2 linked regions of the Bombyx mori genome follow. The protein of the gene in region 2 purifies or fractionates together with the protein of the main gene of each other region. This does not show direct contact. Links are inferred from orthologs where the notes say so. Each region holds a gene or a part of one and is shown on either strand. Other genes may lie near its edges. The genes, in order: zinc finger matrin-type protein 2 and exportin-6.

Evidence for each region.
Region 1: the proteins of exportin-6 (region 2) and zinc finger matrin-type protein 2 purify together in Homo sapiens (co-immunoprecipitation; 3 studies listed by BioGRID and IntAct, with this or other methods). This does not show direct contact. The link is inferred for Bombyx mori from reciprocal best matches to the Homo sapiens genes XPO6 and ZMAT2.

Annotation. Positions count from the first base shown.
Region 1 is NC_085128.1:9,737,844-9,741,512, forward strand, and holds zinc finger matrin-type protein 2, read right to left. Parts: upstream 2,080-3,669; 5' UTR 1,877-2,079; coding exon 1,762-1,876; intron 1,675-1,761; coding exon 1,433-1,674; intron 982-1,432; coding exon 742-981; 3' UTR 691-741; downstream 1-690. UniProt on the Homo sapiens protein: Involved in pre-mRNA splicing as a component of the spliceosome.
Region 2 is NC_085114.1:10,453,222-10,457,054, reverse strand, and holds part of exportin-6, read left to right. Parts: exon of another isoform or gene 1-127; intron 128-218; exon of another isoform or gene 219-339; intron 340-795; exon of another isoform or gene 796-2,447; intron 2,448-2,628; coding exon 2,629-2,805; intron 2,806-3,256; coding exon 3,257-3,449; intron 3,450-3,833. UniProt on the Homo sapiens protein: Mediates the nuclear export of actin and profilin-actin complexes in somatic cells.

The sequences.
Region 1 (3,669 bases), on a different chromosome or scaffold from region 2:
CTTTCACAGATATTAAACAGTTAATAAACCACCATTATTACACATTTAAACCCGAAGAAACACAAAATAAAACAAATCACACAACTTCACGCCTCGCGTTCCCGCCAAAAAGTATTATATAAAATTCTTTTTTTAAGGTATTTTATGACCTGGTGACTAAGACCTTTAAGTCATGTCTTATTTTAATTTATAGATTTGGGCGAGATCGTTATCTTAGCCCAGACTCAACAGAAACGACTTAGAGTAGAGAGATGAGCGCTCTTTTAACGCCCAGCCAACTGATTTTGTTGTTGAATTGTTTATTGTCCTCGAAAAGTCAGTCAGTCAAAGTAGTCACGTGCGATTTACATATCCCAAAATCCCAAATCCCAAAAACTAAAGTTGATGTGAGTTTTGACATATACAGGACTACTGGAGTCAGTGAAAAGCTTTCATCTAGCACATGAAAAACATGCCCTCATACCAAGTCCGGTAGTGGACATTGTAGCCTTATAATTTATATTTTTTAATTGGAAAAAGCATTTGGAACATGTTACATTTACATGGTGTCGTTTTTTCTAGCCTTTTCCAAATAAATATGGTAATATTATCCTGTCTGCTAAATCAAAGTTCATAATTATACCTTGATAAAACAAGGTCAGGGCAAATAGAATTATTAGCCAAATAATAATTAAAACATTCAATGAAACATTATTGTACCACACAGTATTTATTAATATAAGCTTTACATTTTAAAACATATCATTTTTTAGATCCTCCAAAGCCAGAAAACCCCATAATTTGTGCTAATTCAGAAGGTGCTGGTGTATCATCTATTTCATCATTCTCCATTAACTTCCGTTTCTTGTCCCGACGTCTCTCCCTACGTAGCTCTTTCACACGAGCTTCTTCTTCAGCGGCTTCCTTTAATCTTGTGTCTAATTCATATTCACGCTTTTTCTCTTCCAACTTTCGTTTATTGAGTGCAAATCTTGCTTTTACCTGGAACCAAACAAATATAATGTAGTAGTAGTAGCTATGATAGAATAGAATAAATATTATTAAAACCTGAATGGTATTTATAAAATTGAGAACAGCTAGATGAGTTAGATAGATTATTTCAAATTAGTGGTCTAGAAATTTAAATCATCTATTTGGTTGAACATTTTACATTTATTATTCCTTAACAATAGCATTAGAACTTGATAAAATTAAGATTGAAAGAATTTGTTGAGAATTATTTTAATATTGAGTGCTCTAGTTGAGTGGGATGGTAGGTTTGCTCAACTCAGGCAATCACAAAAATAATAGCGTTGGTTCATGATGTTTGTTATTATTTTGATGCAACAGTGGCCAATTGATGATCTCAGACCATAAATCTAGTAGCAAGTCAACAATCCTATTTACCTGCTTGGTACTATGCATATACATACATGTGAAAAAGTAAGCTCACCTGATCTAAGCTGCTCCTTTCTATTTTCATGGACATTCCCAGATTCCTCTGATGTTTTTTACCATTGATGTGATCAAGGAAATTTATTGAATCTTTAACAACACAGTCACAAACATTACAATAATATCCTCCAGATTGGGACGTTGGCGTATTCTTATTGATTACTACACTCTTCCCGAGTCTCGAGTCCAAATCTACTTTATATTCACGTTGTTTGAGAAGTTCACGTTTGACTGGAGTGGCTGGAAAATGAAAATTAAACAAACATTTATATATTGTGTCAAATTTGTATTTTAACGTAACAAAGTGTGTTGACACAAATATTTTACCTTTCTTCTTGGATTTTTCTTCTTCTTCTAGCTCTGCTTTCAAACGCTCGGCTGCAATTTTCTCGAATTCCTCTTTGTCCCATTTTCTTCGGTGGTCATCGGGGCGCATACTCATGTTTAAATTTTATAGTATTTATTTCACAACAATTACAAGTTATGATTTTCTTACACACTCCACTTGTTTGTTTTATATTAAACGTGTACCCAGAGGGAAGAGTAATCAATTAGATCTATTAAAAAAATAACACGAGAAAATCATCCTTAACAACACAAACGAAATGTTTCTAATTGACAACTAGCAGTGACAAAACTGACAAATGATTAGTTGTAGTATTTCCATTTTCTAACAAGAAAGGCGAAAGCATATATATATTATACAGCCTAATCTTTTATATATTCAGTTACATGAAAATTAATATAATAGGTTGGGGAAAAAGTTTCTTCGCATTTTTTAAGAAAATTAACAAATTTTTTTAATAGTTTATTTACATTTAACTTAAGTATGTAGGTATCATTTTGTTCGATAGCTTTTTGCCATTTTGTAAATAGGGACATGATCCCATTGCTATAAAAAATTTGGGGCTTCTGATCAAAATACCGAGACAATTGGTTTTGGCAGTCCTCTCGTGATGTTAATCTGACACTGCCTAAAGAATTCTGAAGAACCGAAACAGGTGGAAACCTGAAGGTGCAAGGTCAGGACGGATATACGGATAAACAGCGGATGCATTAACATCTTCCAGTCAAGCTCTCTTAATTTTTGCTGAATGGCTAAAGATGTGTAAGGTCACATTGTTATCATGATGAAAAGCCACACTCCTTCTGTTGATTAATTCTGGCCACTTTCTCTCAACTTCTTCCTTTAATCTCATCAGTTGTTCGCAGTAGAGTTCAGAATCAATGGTCTTGCCTGGTGGTAACAGCTCATAATGAATAATGTCCTTCCAATTCCACTACACAAACAGCATCACCTTGTTGCAAGTTAACCCAGGTTTTGCCACAGTCTGTGAAGCCTGACGGACCTTTGACCACGACTTTTTTCGTACGTTCTTGTCGTGCGTGATCCACTTTTCATCACCAGTTATCAGCTTCTTCAAACATGGTTCGGTTTCATTACGTCGTAATAAAGAATCACAAATGAGTACACGGTTCATTAGGTTTCTTTCAGTGAGCTCGTGAGGTACCCAAATATCGAACTTTTTTGTGTATCTATTTTTTTTCAAATGAGCCAAAGCTGTTTTGTAGTCAATTCCCAGTTCTTCAGCTACGTCGTAACTACTGATATGCCGATCTTGCTTTACTTTTTCAAAAAGATGCGATCAGTCACTTTCACTTTTTCAAAAAGATTCGATTAGAGCGACGTACAAATTCTTAAAATAAAAATTTCGTATTGAAAACGCTTAAACCAATTTTGTGCTACTTTCACAGACACAGCACTAGGTCCATAAACATCGCAATTTTTTTTCGCGGCCTACGTTGCATTTTTACCTTTTTTGTAGTAAACTTTTTAAATGTATCGATTTTCTTCATTAGATTCCCTAATCTTGACAGTACGAAAAACAAATAAAAATCACACATTTTCTTAATTTGAATTTGGAATTGTCTTTTTTAAAATTTTAAACCTTTAATTATTCCAAAACCAGCCAGATACAAATAGTATAACCAAAGAGATTTTATTACAAGTTCATACATACCTACCTACTATAATGAGAAAAGACTTTTCCCCATACTATTATAAAAATGATATAGATATAAAAAGAGTTGAAGATGATTTATTTGAGGCTGTAATCGATTGGGGTGAAATGAGATGAGATGGGATGATATAACGTTTTAGTAAAATGGTGGTTATTTACAGAAACTTTAGTGGACTTTTTGGAAGAACCCGAAAAGCCACTTCCAGTGACTGTT
Region 2 (3,833 bases):
AAAACAAAATTGGCATCAATTTAGTTCTTATGAACTATTTCAATTATTAATTTATCAATTATAAACATATTTAAAAAAAATTAAGATCCCTTGAGAGTTCACATTCCTTGCTGAATCAGTTTCTCTTCTGAAACGGAGAAACAAAGTATCTTAAGTATGTAACAAATATTGAAAAAATACGACCATGAAAAATTTAGTGTTAATGTAATCTTACTTACAAATTAATATATTACATAACACGTTCTGGTTCAAATATAGTGCATCAATCTTTTCATGTTTCAGACATTTTAGTGCTCCTTATAATTTTTCCATAAAATTTTGTCATTATCAAACCTTTGTCTACAAAAATAAAAACATTATTTTATATTGGGTAGAAGGATGAACGTGGTCACAGGCCACTTGGTGTAACTTAGTTATCAAACACCAGGAAACAAAACGTGAATGCCATCATCTAACTTTGGATGTGAGATCAATTGTGCTGTATTTTATTTAAACAGGAAAGCATGACTGATTGATCATTCCAAAAAACTAGTTCGGGCCCACTTGACAATAAGCATATAATACGCTGAGTTGCAAAACATAAATACTTCCACCCACTCGAGACAATTTTATTATCTGAGGTGTGTGTGTGATAGTACGAGACTTAATACCGACTGTTTTGATCAAAACTTAACATATATGATAGCTAGGCAGCAGAAATAGGAAGGACCATTAGTTGGTGCTAATTCATTTAATTATATTATGAATAATAATTCTGTTAGCAAATAATATACCGGGAAAATAGTGTAAACTCACCGTTATCAAGGCATCCGAAATAGCATTTCATTTTCGATCTTCGAGGCATGCTGATTTTTAATAATAAACATTCTGTAAGAAATGAAAATAGTTACACAGGCTTACGAAACGCTAACGAAGAAAAAAGTATTGGAGCCAAGTTATGTCTAAAGAGAATTCAAAACAGAGTTTCTCAATGTCTAATCGTCTAATATTCTCATAAAGCTAAAAGTTGCTCTAAATTAATACTACAACGTAAAATAACTCACACCAAGACCAAAAAAAAACGATTTAAAAAATTAAATCGTTACGACATTTTGAAAACTTTTTTTTTTTTTGAGATTGTTTTACGGCCCTGGAATTTTGAAAACTTCAAAGCAGTGTTTCCACTTACGTTTTTTTTAACACATTTTACCCTAGTTTCTTTTGAATTTACCCTAAAATTTCCTAGACAACTTTCATAAATCCTTTATATAGAAAGCGTAAATAAAATACAGAAAATAAACCACAGCATATTATTTAATGTAGGTATATATAATATAAACGCCCCCAGAAGAACATAGATCTATAGGATTAGAATTTTCAAGGAAGTCGACGCATTGCTTTTATATTCTTTTGCTGCACAACCTAACACTGTTCGGTTCTAAAATTGAGCAATTGTTTGCTGGCAAAGTTGGGAACTTTCTATGAAGCAAGCCGTTCAGGGTTTCATTAGAAAGCCTGTTTCTTTTGTCAGTTTTTAAATTTGAGAACACTGAATAATCTTTCCACCTCAGTCTTTGAAGAAGGAACTGCTAGCAAAAGTGAAATGACAATTACAAGGTTTTCGTAAATGAAATTACCATGATAATCTTTCATGGTACATGAAGTACCTGTATATTACAATACAAGTAAGTTCTGGTGACATCAACGAAAATAGGTAAATAAAAATTTGGCGGATTATACTTATTGGGATTCTGGGGAATCCCTAAGAAAAAGCAGTGGCTTAATCTATGATTTACTTTACTAGAGGGTTACTGTTGAATCAAACCTTTATAGTTTTTATACACAACTCTGTTTTATTCTTTTACTTGTCAACTCGACTTAATGTCATTCTCTCTCCATAAAATAAAATGTTCATTGTTTTACTTTAATTATCGTTTATTTTAAAATTCACAACAGTTACTAGTATAGGCTTTGCTTTTTACCCCGAAATATCCTAAATCCTGGTATTTTTTAAATTGTCTTTATCATCCAAAATATCAGCTATTTTTCCCTAAAAAAGGGAGAATTCCCTAAAAGTGGAAGCACTGCTTCAAAGTACGCTACATTTTTTATTGAGTCAGAACTCATATCTGCCATCTAGTGAGTTTATTAGATCATTAATGCCTAAAAGTTACAAAAATGACGTCGCCACAGGAGTAAGATGACGCTAGTTGTATGTTATTTTCCTTTGTATGGGAGTTGCACCCCCCTGTATACAAGTTCCGAACAACAATATTCGGACCGTCGGTCCACCGAACAATTACCTGCTCGGTTGAAGATCTTCCCTTTCGTCGTTATTCCTACAATGATATATGAGGACGTCAACGCAAAAGGGGCCTAAGCTTACCATAGTTAGTATGGAAATAATGAGGTTTCGCATTTACCTTTACAATAATACTTCGTATGAAAAAAAGTGTGTGTGTGTGCAAGTCACACACGGTAGAAGTGAAACTTATAAATAAGATATAGATATACTGACTATCCCACTACATAACACTATTACAATATATTATACTAACACAGTGGAGATAAAAAGGCCGCGGCTCAGCTTTGTGATATTAGGTTGGTTCGGTCGGTAGTAGTAAGGTTGTTGTGGTTGTGCGCTTGCAGGGGCGGCACGGAGGGCAGCCTGGAGCGGCTGGTGCAGTGCGTGCGGCTGGGCGTGGAGGCGGGCGGCGGCGGCGTGCGCGTGGACGTGGTGCTCGAGCTGCTGCACCGCCACGTGCTGCCGCGCGCCTCGCACCTGGCGCCGGACCTCGCGCGGGCCGCGCACGCGCTGCTAGCCAGGTGGGGGCAACAACACACTGCTGGTAGGGCCTCTTGTGAGTCCGCGCGGGTAGGTACCACCACCTTGCCTATTTCTGCCGTGAAGCAGTAATGCGTTTCGGTTTGAAGGGTAGGGCAGCCGTTGTAACTACATATACTTGAAACCTTAGAACTTATATCTCAAGATGGGTGGCGCATTTACGTTGTAGATGTCTATGGGCGCCAGTAACCACTTAAAACTAGGTGGGCTGTGAGCTCGTCTACTCATCTAAGCAATAAAAAATATACATATATATAGATGCGTGAACGTTTAAAATTAAAAAATAAATAAAAAAAAACGTTAATTTTAATTGAAACTTTCACGATCTCGTAAATGCGGTATAAATGTATTTTTAAAAATGTATTTTTTTTATAGGGACAGAGAAAGCGACTTTCTTTTGTACTATGTAGTGATGGATAGGTTTTGTTGTAGCGTATTAATTCATCGGTGGCGATACTTCTTCCCGCACAAGTGCGACACGGCGGAGGGGGGGCGGCGCGCGGACGAGTTCCGCGGCGCGCTGTCTGCGCTCGGGCGCGCCCTGCTGCTGCCCGACATAGAGCTGCTCAAGCTCAACATTGCGACGCTCGAGACGCTCAACAGCAAGTGGAAACTCTATCATAAAGTGAGTTTACGTATTGTACTACATAGATATTTTTTTTATTGCCCTTGTAGGCAGACGAGCATACGGCACACCTGATGGTGAGTGGTTACCGTCGCCCATGGAATTCATCAGCAATGCCAGGGGCAGAGCCAAGCCTGCCTACCGCAATGGATGGACCGGCTCATGTGTTCGCCTTGAGACATGAGTAACGTGACCTTTTTTTTTTTTCGTGTCAAAGCGGGACGCCTACCGAATTTCGTATATAAATAAATACATATATAGGATACGTCGGGGTAAGATGTAATATGTAAGTGCAAAAAAAAATTTTTTTTAAATGACTTGAAATAATTCATTATGGTATCTTATCCGCACTGGCATCTTAATCCCATTCTCTCGGATTAATCC